Linked DNA regions of Mytilus edulis. The protein of the gene in region 1 purifies or fractionates together with the protein of each later gene. This does not show direct contact. Links are inferred from orthologs where the notes say so. Each region holds a gene or a part of one and is shown on either strand. Other genes may lie near its edges.

Region 1 (8,597 bases):
AGCCAACAAGAAATATATGGAAGAGGTCAGTTCAGACTATAGAGATAATGCAAAGAAGTTCTGGTCTTATATCAAATGCAAAGGTCAAGAATGGACAGGAGTGGCACCGTTAAAAAACAAAATGGGATTTCTGCAAAGTGACAACAAGAGCAAAGCTGACATTTTAAACGACCAATTCCAGTCAGTATTTACCAAAGAAAACCTAAATAACTTTCCAGATAAAGGAAAAAGTCCATACTACACCATGAAGGACATAAAAATTAGTACCAACGGAGTCCACAAATTGTTAAAAAACCTGAAACCGCATAAAGCTACTGGTCCCGACTCAATACCAGCCTTTATACTGAAAACAGCAGCAGAACAACTTGCTCCGATACTCACAGACCTATACCAAACATCATTGAACACTGGTGAAGTCCCGCAAGATTGGAGAGATGCCTATGTAGTTCCACTTTTTAAAAAAGACGAAAGGCACCTAGCATCTAACTACAGACCAGTATCTCTAACTTCCATCACGTGTAAGGTCTTAGAACATATTGTACATAGCAACATCATGGACCACTTTGACAAAAATAAAATACTAACTGATGCACAACACGGATTCCGCAAAAGACGATCATGCGAATCCCAACTAATCGTAACCATCAACGACATTGCATCAAAATTAAAAAGCAGCGGCCAAGTAGACATCATCCTGCTAGACTTTGCAAACGCATTTGACAAGGTACCACATCACCGCCTCCTACACAAGCTGGAATACTATTGCGTCAACCCCAAAACCAATAAATGGATTCGCTCCTTCCTTACATAACAGAAAGCAGAGCGTGATATTAGAGGGTGGGTGCTGTCTCCTCACAAGTACCAGTACTCTCTGGTGTACCCCAAGGCACAGTCCTTGGTCCATTACTGTTCCTGGCCTACATAAACGACATGCCAGAAACAGCATCTACATCAGAGACCAAATTGTTCGCGGATGACAGCCTTCTCTTTCGTACCATCACCAACCAAGCTGACAGTGAACTACTTCAAAAGGACTTAACAGCATTGGAAGACTGGGAAAACAAATGGCAGATGAGTTTTAATGCCAAAAAATGCCTTGTCATCAGAATATCCCCAAAAAATAGACCAGTGATACAAACATCGTACCAGCTACACGGTCATACTCTAGACACAGAGGAAGCAAGTAAATATCTTGGAGTAACCATCAGCAACAACCTAACCTGGGATAAACACATAGACAATACAGTAGGCAAAGGAAACAGAACGTTGTGATTTATACGTAGAAACCTCAAAGGCTGTACAAAACATGTAAAGGCAGCTGCGTATGTATCCATGGTAAGACCTGCAGTGGAATACGCAAGCACAATATGGGACCCAACAACCCAAAATAAAATCAAGGCAATTGAACAGGTACAGAAAAGAGCTGCACGATTTGTGAATAACAACTACACAGACCGAACACCTGGCTGTGTCACAAATATGGTTAAAAATCTTAAATGGGAAAGTTTCGAAGAACGGAGGAAAACAAATAGATTATGCATGCTATTTAAGATCCAGCATGATCTTATAGATATAGACCGTCACCAATATTTGACACCGAATGATAACCGGACCAAAGGTAAAAACCGCTTTTTCCAAGAAAGAACAAGTACAGACACTTACGGCCAATCTTTCTTCCCGAGGACAATCAGGGACTGGAACAACCTACCAACAACAGTTACAGCGACCAACACCGTTGAGGGATTCAGAGCTGCCCTGAAGGCATGCTCTGAAAGGAAGTAGGAAAACCCAGTTGTAAATAATTTTAATTGTATATTTTTGCGAACGTTTTAAATGTATTTGTAAATAGCCAAGAGAAAGCTTTCTGTGTTGCCCGACACTGCGTAAAGTTTTCGCTCGGAACCATGAACATTCAGTATTGAATCCGGTTCCTTACCTGGAAGAAGAAGAAGAAACGATGATAGTCCGTCGGAAGGGGACGATAAATGGCTGACCCGTGTTAAGAGAGAGCCATATCTCTTTCACATTAAAGACACCCTTGTAGATTTCGAAAAAGAGCAGGCTAATGCCGCTACAAGGCAGCACTCGCACCCGCAAAGTGGAAAGGGATTAATATAAGTTGCAAAACTTGTTTCCCAATCCTGTATAAATAAATATGTTTAAACTAAACTAAACTAAAGCATTACGAGTCGATGGTTACTTCGTCTGTTAGCTAGTGGTTCCCATCCTAGTTTCTTGACCATAGTTGTCACACATCCAGGTGTTTTATCGGTGTAGTTGTTTGTTACAAACCTGGCGGCCATCCTTTGCACTTGTTCTAAGCGGTTTATGTCCTCGGTGGTATGAGAGTCCCATGCCGCACTTGCATATTCTAGTGTTGGTCTGACCAGAGAGATATAGGCTGCATTTCGTATATTCTTGCTGCATTCTCGACGGTTGCGCCTAAGGAATCCGAGGGATTTGGATGCTTTTTTGGCAGTGACGTCAACATGATGTTTCCATTGTAGGTCCTCACTGAAATTTACTCCTAGATATTTGCTGGTTGGTACAGTTTCGAGAGTGTGGTCATATAATTTATAGTATGTCTCTTTTGGGGATTTACTGTTGGTGCTAATGCGGATGAAGGTGAGTTTTTCTGGGTGGAATTTCATCTGCCATTTGGTTTCCCAGTCTTCTAGTGCTGAAAGATCCTGTTTTAGTTTGGCTTCGTACTGGGAATTTGTTAATAACTACTAAGAAGAGTAAGGAACCTAACACAGTCCCTTGTGGGACACCTGAAAGTACGTCTCCCAGTGTTTACTTACAGCCCTCAACTACCACTTGTTTTTTCCTGTTTTCTTAGAAAGAATATTGTATCCATTTCAGGTTTTCGTCTCTAATGCCATAGTGGTTCAGTTTGTTGAGTAATCTGCAGTGTGGGACTTTGTCAAAAGCATTAGCAAATATAAAAAAGAAAATGTGGTATAATTGCCAATGAGACAACTGTCCGCCACAAGAGACCAAAATGACACAGACATTAACAACTATAGGTCACCGTACGGCCTTCAACAATGAGCAAAGCTCATATCGCATAGTCAGCTATAAAAGGCCCCGATAAGACAATTAAATGTAAAATAATTCAAACGAGAAAACTAACGGCCTTAATTATTTATATATAAAAAAAAAAGCAGACGAAAAACAAATATGTAACACATAAACAAACGACAACCACTGAATTACAGGCTCCTGACTTGGGATAGGCACATACATAAATAATGTGGCGGGGTTAAACATGTTAGCGGGATCCCAACCCTCTCCCTAACCTGGGACAGTGGTATAACAGTACAACATAAAAACGAACTATAAAAATCAGTTGAAAAAGGCTTAACTCATCAGATGGACAAAAATACAAGTGGACGTGGCCGGATCGAGTAAGATTACATCCACTTGATCTTTCCCTGATTTCAGTTGTTTGGCAATTCCTTCTATTGTTGAAATTAGTTGTGTCTCACAGGATCTATACGAGCTTTGAATCCAGGCTGACTGTCTGTCAAGATGTGATGTTTTTCCAAAAATGTGATGACTGAACTGTGGATGATATGTTCGAGAACTTTGCATGAAATAGAAAATAGCGAAACTGGTCGATAATTTACTGCTATATGATTTTCTCTTTTTTTTTAATAGTTGGACTAACTAGTGTTTCTTCTGTCAAGCCGTTTGGTATTTCACCGTTGTCAATGGTGGTTTGGTAAAGACGGGAAAGGATGGGAGCCATCTCATTTGCTGCATTTTTAAGTATTAGTGCTGAAATGTTTCCTGGTCATGTTGCTTTGTGTTGTATAAGGTTCTTTAACAGCTTGTATACTCCATTTTTGTTTAGCGGTTGATTTTACCCATGGTGGGATAACGGCTTGGGCCTTTGTTTGGTATACTAGTCATGTCTTCTTTAGTATAGACCGATTGAAATTGGTCGTTTAAAGTTTCAGCCTTTTGAGAGCTTTCACTATGTAAAAAATCCGTCTTTGTTGGTAAGGCAGAAACACCTGATGACTCTTGTTTCTTACTTTTTACATATGTGTAGAAGCGCTTAGGATTTTCTCTGAAGTCATTGCTGACAACATCTTGGGTGTAGTTTCTATGAGCTTTTCTTGTCTCCTTTTGGGTGTTTGCTTTTAGTCTTTTGTACTTTTTCCAGTCGATTGGGTTATTAGCACGTTTAGCTTTGGAGTGAGCTCTTTGTTTTCTTCTCATTGCTCTTCTTATCTGGGTGTTTCTACCCATGGATGTGTGTGTCTGTTCGTTGTTTGTTTTGTTGGTACATGATTTTCGATAAGATGTTACAGGATAGGATTGTTTTAATTGTCTTCCAAATGGCCTCCACTGTCTGGTCCTTGATTGACAGAATTGTTCACCAAAGTTCTTAAGAGAAATTTTAATTGCTTTCATGTTAGCTTTTTTCCAAAAGAAAATCTTTCCTCGTATTGGCTTTACTTGATTTGGTTGTATATTTGTGTCGTACAGTACTATATCATACATACATCCTGTACATAAAATTCAAGTTGTTTATTTTAAAATACCCAAAACATGTTGTTGAGGTGTGACTGTGTTTGACTTCGAATCTTACTGCATGATTGGCGGAGCTCCTAAAACAGGCGGAAAGTACAGAATAGGTAATAAGTAAACAGTGGTGTTGGTCAAATAGGTGACTCTTGAAAAATAGTTATCGAGGATAAAAAAACCCATAACTGTTGATTATAATTATGTACAAATATATTCTATAAACAGTGAAAAAAGACGATTTATAAGGGTTTTTTTCTAGTCGGAACGAGTTCTTGTATTCTCCGGCATAGTTCTATTTTTAATAGCATTTATACAATTTCCCTAAAAAACGAATTTATAGATGACCAAAAAACAATATTTTTGGGGGTATAAAATTTTAAAATCTGCTTAACAAATGAATAAAAATAAATAAAAAATTGAATTTATGTATATTTAAATTAGTTACCGACAAGATATAACAAGTTTTAGGAATACAGTATTTTATTCGTTTATTCTTGCTGCTACAAGATTATTGTGCAATTTGTCTTCACCAAATTAAACCAAATGGAAAATGAAAATGGAAGAAAATCGAAAGTTGATTTTTAAAAGCTTTTTCGAATTACAACTGTTGCTTAATCCTCAAACTCGTCAGTAGCAGCGAACTACAGAAAAGATGAGTGCGAAGGTGTTGCCTTCGTCTAGGAGCGAATTGGACATTTACCTGAAGGGAAATGAATTGAGGACGAAATTTCATGACTTGTTTGATGCATATCACATTTCTCAGGCTGACAATAAGTAAATAACTCAATTGATTAAAAAATGGGTTTAACGCAGGTTAAAGAATGATCTGTTTGTATCTGGTGTTTGTTGAATCTTGATCTTTTATTTTGCTTTAATATGAGGCAGGCATTACCTGTAAATGGGGACGAAGTCTATATGAATTATTTTTTTGTAACTTAAATATTTGTTTAAAAAAAGAAACGAAAATACCGTAACGTTTCCGATTTTGGTTCTGTTGTAAGGGATTTTAGTTGTGACGTTATTTAAATTATGACGTCATGTGCAATGTAAACGCTATCATCAGGTAACGTTTTTTCATATCAAAGAATTATTATAAATGAAATTGGTATTGCACGTTCCTTCCTATTTTATACTAGACTGATAAATATATATTTTACTCAAAGTTTCATACAAACGAGACCGGAAAAAGGAAGTACATTGTACATTTCTGTACAGGTCCGGGATTTCAAAACATGACAAAAAAAAATTGAACAATTTTGAGTTCATTACTACAATGAGAAATTTTCCCGAATTTTTTTTTTATTGAATTTTCTACTGTTATTGGGGACTTCGTCCCCATAATATCCTCACAGGGCTTTCCATTGAAACTGAAGTAGAAGGCTCAATTAAAATTATAGGCGGCTGTAACATGCGTTCTGCGCAGCATTGCCCACCTACAGCTTGGTGCCTTACGGCAGGGGGGTCTGGGGGCCGCTCAAGGCCCCAGAAGCTCTGGCATAAATAGAGCAAAATCCTGCATTCTCGCAATCTCCTGGCACCTAATTTCATCTTTCAAATGACCATTTTTTATGTATGAAATTAAAGAAGGAAAAAAAAATCTCAAAGAAATTTCATTTATTTTTATGTTATAGTTTTTTATTTTCATTACCTTATGCTTAAAATTCATTTACTTTTAAAGGAGATTTATTTATATAATAATACGGTTTGTTAAAAATCTTGATCGATTTATTTTGCAGAACTACGTGCATTTGTAAACAAATGACCCCCCTTTCTCTCTAAAGACTGTTACGCGTAACTAAATCATACAATTATTTCTCAAGCATTGACAGAAAATTGATATATCCTCTGATTTTCTCTTTTTTTGTAAACTGTTCAATAAGTCGGATACATAAATCATTTGAAAATGTTATTTATTTGAGGTCGAGGCCACAATATTCTACTTTCGTTTTTGACCTTGATTCTCTGAACACCACGTGGACTTTGAAAAATGAATTTCAAAAGATACTGTTTTCCAGATTCTGAACAATATGATCTACTACACTTTCTTTAATTTGACTGATATTATTCCATAACATAAGATTGTCATCCTATTTGATTGTCTTCATGTTTTTAAAGTAAAAAAAAGCAAACGAGTTAATGACCATCGGAACGTCTCTATTGTTATCCTTCAATGACCACCGGAACGTCTCTCTTGTTATCTTTGAAAAGAAACGATGCATTCTGACTTTAAATAGACAACCAATCAGTGACCTGAATTCATGTGAACTATATTTAGCCCAAGGTAAACACTGACTTTTCATCCTTGTTTATCGTGACCGCGACTTTGCGGAAATACGTCTCTCGGCTGCCTGTAAACATTTGAAAAAGATTTTTTTTTTCTTTTTGAATTTATATTTTTGTCAGTGAAGAAGCCGGCACTTGAAGCCACTGTAAACGGCGGATTTCCGCCTGCTACCGGCTTCAATGGAAAGCCCTGTCCTCGTACTTTTTATGACCCATCCGTATCAGAGGGCCATCAAGTTTTACCCTCGTCTGTCTGTACTCTGTACTTGTGTCCCAAAATTGGTTTCCGTTTCTAACTAAAGTTCACATCAACAAAATGTTATGAAATTTATACACAATGGTAAAAGCTGATTACCACAAAACATTGATCACGTTTGAATTTGGGTAACATCACTTTTACCATGAGACATGATTCTAGCATGTCTAGAGTTCAGTTCTGGAAATCTCTGAATTCGGTAACATTAACAAAATTGGTAACAGTTTCCAAATTAATTAACTGAACCTTTAACAAAGTTGTTAACTTCAGTGTTTATTTGGTTTTTGGCATTTATAAATAAAAAATGGCATGCTGGGAACAATTTCAGACGGAACTATGGACAAATTTCTAGAGTTCTGCCTGATAAAATTAAAATCTATGCAGGGGTTGATGAAAACGCAAATGATCCAAAATCCATATAATTTTTATATGTATCTTTTAAAGCAAAAATGAAATAAACACAGAAGTTAAAGAATTTGTTGATAATTTAGTTAATATAGTTGGTAACTGTTACAAAATTCGTTAACGTTACAAAATTCATAGATTTCTAGAACTGGGTTATGCCCATTTACAAATGAAAAAAGAGCTAAATTGTTTTTGTACCCATTCTCTTACTCGGATTTGCCTCAAGTATATGTTATAATCATATACATGTACACACTTGATCTTAACTCAAAACACAGATTAAGTACAAAATTGGGAAGCGTCACTTTTACCATTATTGAATTATGTCTCGTTATAATCTTATATGCAAGCGGGGGCATCTTTTGTGTCCCATGGACACATTTTTAATTTGTTGGTTATAAGATACAAATTTACAGCAATTTTTTTGCTTCTAAAGGATTGTGATAGCTTTTTGGAAATTTGTCCCAAGTGAATCTGTCCTGCTTGAACTGCATATATTATATATTGAAACTAACAATACAAGCAATACAATAAAATCTTATTTACTAATAATCTTCTCATTTACTTTCAATAATTTTTTTATCAGAAAGAAACAAGAAAAGAAGAAGGCAAAGAAGAGATCAAAATCAAAATCTAAAGAAAAAAAATCTAAGGTAAGTTTCTCAGATAGAACCACTAACTACTGTTCTCCAGTGGCAGGTTTACATTACTGTACCAGGTTTTCGGAAGGGTTGAGTGCTCATATACATGTTTAATCCAACCACATTCCTCCTTGTATAGTGTAAGTACGTGTATATTGCTCAAACAGATGATTTTATTTTTGGTGTAGCTAATACCAAAAATGCAATCTGGAGAGATTATTTGCTTGAATGTAACATTGGGACAAATTAATTATGGTGCAAATGAAACACAAATCCAATTGAGCAAAGTTTGCAAGTCTTCATCAATTACACTTCAGTACAACTATTTCCTCAAACTGTCACAGTTATTGTAGCTTAACAGATTAAGCTCACTAACTACTTATCCTCTGAAAAATTTCAAATAAACATTGTTGCTGAAATAGATTGTCTCACAAAAAATTCAGACTAGTTAACATACATACTGTTGTAGAAAA
Region 2 (8,963 bases), on another chromosome or scaffold:
AACAGATGTACAAATCATTCAGTTATGCTAAATGACAACATATTTTATAAATGAACATGGACTTTATAATCATTTTCGAAAATCTAATCATTTTTCAATTTGCCAATATTTTACGAAAAGATTAGACTGTGCAACTTATGTGGGTTTTTGAATTCACATGTATTCTGGATGGAATATTTCAACAGTACAACCATATAGATATCAATTAACAAATTTATATAAAGCCTATAAAATGACACATAAAATCATCCGTCTAAGGGTGGTCCTAAGTAAACCATAGAAATTTCTGTATTTCCATAAACTGCAGATACTGAGGGGTATAATGGTGTGTCAGGCAGTCCACGGAAAGCTACACCTGGAAAAAAAATCAGTTGATACAATGTAACATTATAAACACATGTATAATAATTTACTATTTAAAAAGTAAAGATATGGGTGGGATTTGAATAAAAAAGTTAGGTTGTTTTGTTTTTAAAACAATAAAGGCACAGTTTCTAGTATGAATTCATATTTCCTTAAAAAAAATCTGTTGTTTTTGTAGGTGACACTTTACAATAAATACCAAACACCAAATAACTCGTACACATTTCTTCCAGCGGTCAGATGCATTCTCATTTCAACTAAAGAAGCCATAAGAAGAATTCTTAAATACATCCCCTACTCCTCCCATCGGTTTAAAGTAATTGACTGTTAATGTCAAATGCAACTATCAATACTTTTTACTTATTAGGGTTCTCTAAATTAATGAAACATTGAAATCAAGCCATGAATGTGTCTATTTCTTGGAAAACATGTTGAAGGTTAAGCATTTCAGTTTTTCATGTATATGAATGTTACAAAATGTGTCCATTCTTAATCATGACATTTACCATCTCTTACAGGTTTTACAGCTTGTAGCTTTAGTTAGCAACACATTAAGATAATTAACAAGATGAAGCGCTGACTTACTACACTACCACAGTGGCACTATAGGTACTTGCTATTTAGGTTAAGACACAATACTGAGTATAACATGCTCCCATGATGCTCAATGTGAGGAAGCTCTGATTTGTAGTTTCTGATAAACGCTTAAAAATGTATTGGGGAAGACAAATGTACATGATGTATATAGCAATATACAATATACCCCAACATCCTAGAGTGAACTTAATGCGCTTGCATTGTTAAAGTTATGTTTAAAATTAGATTGATTAAGCAAGCGATGATAAACTAAAAATTACCTAAAAATTCATAATTCTTTTCAAACGCTAATGTATTATCTTCACAATCAAGTATTACTCTTATTCTTTCTCCAACCTAAAATAAACAAATATTTAAATAAAACAATTTAATAAAAACAAACTTGAATTTATAGCAAGTTCAGTCAAACTCTGAAAAGTACATATAAATATGTATCCATCTATAGTAACAATATTTATATCTTTGGTTAAAAAATGTATGAAGGTACTGCCTTTTTCTAGCATGTCTAGGTAAATTAATTAGACACTGTATCAAATATCCCATTTTTTAAATGCAATTTTGTTAAAATTTACATTATTACATTCATGACATTGTGGCCACATTTCTTCAAATTGTCCTAAAAAATATCATCATTGTTTACATGCTTATTGTTAAAGACCATACAGTGACCCATGGTTGTTAATATAAGTGTCATTTGGTCTCTTGTGAAGTTTTGTGTCATTGGCAATCATATTACATTTTTATGCTAAACGTTCAAAATAAGGAATAGTTATGGCATAAAAGTAATGAGTTCATCCTTCATATTTTTTTGGCAATTTAAACCTTTTTAGTTTATATGTTATACATGTGGCCTGGGATAAAAAAAATCCACAATTTTAGTATATCCTGTCTTTCAGTTGTTGACTAAAACAACTTTTGTTGAGTGCCTTTTTGCAAATCCATGAACATTTTCTTTTTTATCTTGATGTCAATTTCGCATTTCCCATTTTTGAAAATCATACACAGACTAAAATTTAGTACACTATTCCTATCCAACAGTACATGTCTAATATTTATTAGAATGCTCATGGGCCAGAATGTGCATATTTTCATCTGTGTATGTAATATAAAAAGTAGTTTTAATAATTTGAGTAATGAGGAAATTTTTTTTTATGTTTCATGATGACAGAGTTTGTTATTTTAGTCAAAATCTGCCATGAAGTACCTTTTAAGAGAAAGTGTACTTTATATTTGTAATACATGTAAGTGTATATAATGTTGTTTATTTTTTTGTATAAATAAATTGTTTTCAATAGTATCACGTGGTGTTTCATGCCAAGATATATTGCATGTATTGATAAATGTTATACATGTAGATTTAATATAAATGTATTTTAATGTGTGTTTTTACAGTATCTCATAACTCTTTTTAGAGTGGCTCTTTTATAAATTGATCTGATAGTGATAATAATATATTGTGTTTTATATCAAATGTTTCAAAGAAGTGAGACTCTAATAAATTATTTGTTTGTTTGTTATTTGCTTCAGATTTTTTTTGTTATTTTATACTGTTGTTCAAATACATGCATCTTATTTTTCTTTACAGTGAGTGTACATGTACAAACATGACAAATGTATGCTTCTTACCATCTATATATTTAACTCATCTATGGATACTAGGTTTAAATCCACTCTATTAACTGTATCATATACATTTGTACATTTTGCAGATGATTAATTTTTAACTAATTACCAGTGATAGTAATTGCACACCCTGAATGGCATGTATGTTTATCGTAGATTTGTACATACATACATGTATATTTCGAAAATTACTATTGGTTTTGTCTTGACATTATTTTTTTAGGGGTGGGGTGGTAGTTTAGATCTGCTTTTCATGCTTTTAGGCATGTTACTAAGACATAAAAATGAAACAAATAAAAATTAACTCATTTATACCCTTAAAATACAAAGTTTCATGTTATTCGTTTTATAAAAATCAAGTAAGAAGTACTGACATTGTCAGTTTATTTTCAATTTGTATTTGTGAGTTTGATATTCTTTTTTCCATTTTTCTACATTTTTACCATTTTTACTGAAATGTGTTGCAGTATTTATGTATTTCTATACAATGCCATACTATTTCTTGCCCCGAAAAATAGATTAAACAGTGTTTGTGCTTATAAAACAGTGTCTATTGTCTTGTCATCTATATGTACAGCTGATGTTGAGATGCTCTTTACATGTTAAATATCTTTAAACAAAAGATAATTTTTTTTAACTGGCTGAAATTCTGACGCATAATGGAATGTGTTGCTTGTGTATACATATATAGTAGCCCAGTAGGTAAATGCTATTGCTAATTAATATCACACCTGATAGGTTGGAGCATTATTTAATGTAGGATAATTGCCTTGACTATCGCCATTGTGTATCAGGTGATTGTCAACTAAATTCCATCCCCAGCTCTGATCGTCTCCTCCTAATAAACTGACATATCCTATATTATGTAATGAAGCTTTTTTAGTTGCTAATCCAATCACAGCTACTGTCCCTAAAGGTCCTTCCCACCACACTTCCCAACAATGTCGACCTGTCTTAAAACCTATTTTCCCTCTAGCTCCGTCCGTACTTTGAGCTACTGGATTTCTGTGAACTGTAAATCCGCCAGATTTCACTACAATGTTTTTTGAACAATCATTTAAATTCCAATTATGGAAAAATGCTCGCAGTTTCGCTTTATATGTTGGAACGTTTTTCAAAATGTCAGACTTTAGAACTTGTTCTGTCACTTTTCGTATGCAGTGAAACCGCCATACATCATTATTTTCATCGTTCAAAAACTTATACCATTTCTTACACACTAAGGAACATGTTCTTAAATCAGATATATTTAAATAGGAGAAAATTGATTCTAAAATCTGAGGAGGAAGGTTGGCTGCTGCAGCCATAACGGCGAGACATCCGGTCAATATAGCTACCAAAATGTGAGATACAATAAAATGGACAAATTGGTATTCTGTTTATTAGAATACCGACGATAGAATAAGGATCTGATATCTTTGTAGGTTACAATTATTAATAATTTTGATATTTGGAAATAGTAGCAACTTGTATAGCTACGTAAGGACACATTCATTTGTACGTTGCATTCTTATTTTTAACTTTTAGGTTTCTGATAAAATTTTAGCAATCACGTGTAAATTCATTCAACGAGATTCAAGATGTCTGCGCCCATGTTATGAAGAGAAAAAGTTAAAAATATGTTTAAAAACCAAGAAATATATTCGATACTGAAGAAAAGGTAGACAAAAATGCCACAACTTAACATAAATGTCATAGTTCCCTAAATGAAGGGCTCATGAGACACTGTTAAACGAATTATCATACTTTTTCATAGATAAATAAGATATTTTGCTAAAAAAAAAGGTTTTAAAAGTTTTTCTATTTATACAACTTATAATATCCCTATCCACCAAAAGGACTGGATATCTCAGATATTCCTGTTAAATTTTGACATCATAACAATTAATTGATTATTGAATGAAATCAATATTTCCAAGGGCCAGTGATGTCACTAAGTTTTGAAGAAGCAGGCTGAATTCCTAAAATAGGCGGCAAGTACATGCGGACGGCGAAGCCAATTCGCGTCGACGAGCTTGCTCGTCGCTACTACGGCGGGGGGTCTGGGGCCCGCTTAAGGGCCCCAGGATTTTTTTTTAAAATGGTGCAAAATCCTGCATTCTGGGGGTGTCCTAGACCCTTATTCAGACCTCTGAAAACATTATTTTTTACTGAAGATAATGTAAATGATTAACTAAAATTAGCAACATGATGGGAAAATTTTCTGTACATGACGTGATCACATCATTGATCATCTTGATGGACCAATATACATTTTTGTGCATTTTCCTGCAGGTTGACTGCTAGTAAATATTTTTGAACTGAAAGAATCCAAAAATCTTAGTTTGAATAGAAACATATTGTCTCTGGTTTGAATTGTCACTTGAATAATTTAGTTTTAAATGAAAATTGTAATTGTGACATTGAGAACATTGTTTTAATTTTATATTAAAAAAGTGTTGGTTTTGTTTTTACAAAATTAAAAAACAATATTCACTGACTAGTAGTCAGCTGGAGCTTCGATTTCAAAGTTAAAACTGTTACAGAGGTGCTATATTTTATAAAATCGTATGCTATCCCAAGGACGTATAACTGGGTCAGGATCCCTAATAGACCTTGAGATGAGGAACTCAGATGACGTAATTAAAAAAAATATTAGTCCGCCATACAATTGTGGATGCTGTGATTTTAAAAATGGACATAAATGAACAATAAGAACTGTTTTATAGAGCTGGTGTGATGAGAAAAGAAAGATGTAGATTTGACCTGAAATAAATTATTAGAAAGGACAATTTTTTTATTGAATTTTATGATCAGAATTTTGGGATTATTTCATGAGGAGAGTGACATTTTTCACCATCTTCCGGGGTCCATCAATTTGCGAAAAAAGTAATCTCACTTGCCACCCCGAAAATTTAACCATACATGTATAAATGTATCAGCTTCGATATGAGCCATCATACATGTTCAAGTAAACGATATGGACTGAGCAACGGAGGAAAACGTTACCATTACGGCCTATGGAGAATTAATTGTAAATGTATACCCAAATTAGAAGCTTAATTCCAGAAGTTTTCAGGCTGATTTATGGATGATTTCACCTTGTACACCACCGAAAATGATGGTTAGTAGTTTTTTATTTATACCTAGTTATTATAAATGGTTTAAGATAAATATTATTGATAAAGATCAGCAAAAACTCAATGAAACTTTGCTTTTAAAATGCATTACTGGCACGGGGCTGAACACTTTTTTTAGGCACAATCATAACTTTGTTTACTTCCGAGAGATCCGAAAGGAATTTGTTTACTATATTGAAAAAGGCAAGAAACAACTTTTAAATATTATTAAATTGTAAGTAAACATGACCCAATATAGTCTTTGTTATGTAATTATCACTTCGGTCTACAGGAATACCTGATAATCAAGGGAGATAACACACTTCATACGAGTAAAGTGAGATACATCATCGCATGTGCTTTTATCCAATGATTTGACCCCTGGTCAGTAGATATCATATGCAAAAAAACAGAAAAAACATGTACATGTAAATATTTTTAATGCACTTGAGCAAAACAATAGATATTGTCATTTCTCAGTGAAAAAGGGGGAGGGTCAAACCTTTTTGAAAACAATATTTCTGCACCTATTCAACTATTAAGCTAGTTAGCTACTACCCATTGCTTCTAAAATAAAAGGTTTAGATGAAGGTGACTAAGCCACAAGGGAGAAGCATTTGTCTTTCTTTGTGATTAAACTTTCAAGAATTAGATTTTTCTCTCTCAATAGTACTTATGTATTTAAATCAAATGATAACACAGCCTGAGTAATTTTTTTGTCTTATTTCAGTTCCAGACATATCATTACTTTTTAACCTGAGATGGCAAACTAGAGGTTTTAAAAAGTCCTGAATAACTGGTAAGCATTTGCTTTATTAGGCAAGCTCTAAATTGTTTATTTATGGTATTTATGCAATTGAAATTACAGTCGGTATGTTAAAAATATGCAAATATGAAAACTGTTGCTATGGTCTTGGTATTAAATGAAAAGGCTTAGTTACAGATCGTTTCGACTCAATATTTCGAGTTAAATCTTGCGGCAACTGTTTCTCACGTAACACTGCAAACTATATTTAGTTCTATTTTAATCTGTCGTTATTTAATGACGCCATAATACATGTGATGTCACAATGTTTCCTTTAAAACCTCATGTGGATTTCTCACTAATAAAAGGTTTTCACTGAAATACATGTTAAAAACATTTTTTCTCAAATAGAATTATGTGAAAGGACAAGTTTTGAAAATTTGCACTATATTGCACTCTAATTATATGATAAGGATGACTTTCCAAGTAGTTAAGAGTGCTTTCCACAGTTTTAAATACCAGATTTCCACTAGTAAGAATAATTATTTTGGTGTTGGTTTTTTTTATAAAATCTTCATTTTTGCATAATTTCTCTGTCAAAATGCACTTTAAGGCACAAGAAAATTTTATAGAATGCTTTAACAGGGTCTGTGTATTGTAATTAAAGGTTATAATCAGAAGTTTTGTCCTTGTTTTGACTAGTGAAGGTATTCTGGAAGAAATTAATTATACAAACACATTGTATTCAAAATAAATGAATATAGCGACGAAAGTGTCATTGCCGTATAGTGCTAAAACAACTTTATTTTTTTTCAGAAATGGACAAAAATACACAGATTTATTCAGAATGTTATACCGATGAAGATCACATAAAAATATTTGGAAAAATCAGAAGTATGAATTTCAATATGGGTCAGGATCCCTAATAGACCTTGAGATGAGGAACTCAGATGACGTAATTAAAAAAAATATTAGTCCGCCATACAATTGTGGATGCTGTGATTTTAAAAATGGACATAAATGAACAATAAGAACTGTTTTATAGAGCTGGTGTGATGAGAAAAGAAAGATGTAGATTTGACCTGAAATAAATTATTAGAAAGGACAATTTTTTTATTGAATTTTATGATCAGAATTTTGGGATTATTTCATGAGGAGAGTGACATTTTTCACCATCTTCCGGGGTCCATCAATTTGCGAAAAAAGTAATCTCACTTGCCACCCCGAAAATTTAACCATACATGTATAAATGTATCAGCTTCGATATGAGCCATCATACATGTTCAAGTAAACGATATGGACTGAGCAACGGAGGAAAACGTTACCATTACGGCCTATGGAGAATTAATTGTAAATGTATACCCAACTAACATAATATACGTCCTTGGCTATCCCCAAAAAGATTTGAAAATTTAGACTAAAATTCCTGCATTCTGAGCATACATTTTGTACCTGAGAGTGATTTAGATGCTTGGGAAAATGTTAATTTTGTCTTATTTTTGTTGTTGACTTCAATCACATTGATTTTTTTTTTAAATGAGAATCCGTAGTCCTGGCAAGGCTAATCTATATTATATTTTTTTCTGGGAAGGTGTCTTTTGTAAGACAACTAAGGAAGTCTGTTCTTGAATATATGTAAATAATACACAGGCACTTTACACAGGCAAGTGCCTGTGAAATAATAGGTGAAATATTATAATTTTATTTCAAAAATAATCGAATTTATTAAATATCTTGATCGATTTATTTGCGTACGTACTTAGTGACAAATGACCCCCTTTTTTCTCATATAAGACTTGTACACGTATTTCAAACATGTTGTCAAGCTATGTCGTTTTATTTTCTCTTATTTGTTAACTGTTCAGTAATCAGTAAACTAAAATCCTTTTGAACTATAAAAGATATTTTTAAAAATTATTTGTGGTCGACAATATTCTACTTTCGTTATTGACCTTCATTCTCTAGACACCACGTGGTCGTGGGCTTTGAAATGTGAACTTCAAAAGGTGCTGTTTTCCAGATTCTTGACAACATTATATATATTATACTTTCTTTTATTTGACTGATATATTAATTTCCATAACATGCTATATTGTCATCTTTGGCTTATTCCTTCTCTTGAAGCAAAAACCAAACAGGGTCATAATGTCCATCGGAACGTCTCTCTTTTTATCCTTGCAAACATTACAATACTTACCGACTTTAAATAGACGACCAATCAGCGGACTGCATTTACGTGAACTATATTTAGTCAAAGGTAAACACTGATTTACATCCTTGTTTATCGCGACTTTAATCGTGGAAGCTGATGCATTGAACAATTATTTTTTAATATTAACCTGATTATCTTTTTTATCTTATTAATTTTTTTTACTCATGCAAAAATAGCCGGCGGGAAAAGGACAATAACCGGCGAAAATCGCCGGCTGCCGGCTTCTAACGACATCACTGAGGGCACACAGGTTTATCGGTCACAATAATACTGGTTATATGAGGCAGGCATTACCTGTAAATGGCGACGAAGTCTGTATATTATT

The links. The genes of interacting proteins can lie anywhere in the genome.
Region 2: the proteins of E3 ubiquitin-protein ligase MYCBP2-like (region 1) and F-box/SPRY domain-containing protein 1-like purify together in Caenorhabditis elegans (affinity purification with western blotting; 3 studies listed by BioGRID). This does not show direct contact. The link is inferred for Mytilus edulis from reciprocal best matches to the Caenorhabditis elegans genes rpm-1 and fsn-1.

What each region holds. Positions count from the first base shown.
Region 1 is NC_092351.1:37,260,061-37,268,657, reverse strand, and holds the start of E3 ubiquitin-protein ligase MYCBP2-like, read left to right. Parts: upstream 1-5,049; 5' UTR 5,050-5,191; coding exon 5,192-5,313; intron 5,314-8,069; coding exon 8,070-8,136; intron 8,137-8,597. Other genes in the region: uncharacterized protein, read left to right, coding at 1,333-1,782.
Region 2 is NC_092346.1:53,776,112-53,785,074, reverse strand, and holds the start of F-box/SPRY domain-containing protein 1-like, read right to left. Parts: upstream 3,929-8,963; 5' UTR 3,891-3,928; coding exon 3,315-3,890; intron 1,297-3,314; coding exon 1,221-1,296; intron 356-1,220; coding exon 246-355; 3' UTR 1-245. UniProt on the Caenorhabditis elegans protein: Component of a SCF (SKP1-CUL1-F-box protein) E3 ubiquitin ligase complex which is required for the restriction and/or maturation of synapses in GABAergic neuromuscular junction (NMJ) presynaptic neurons.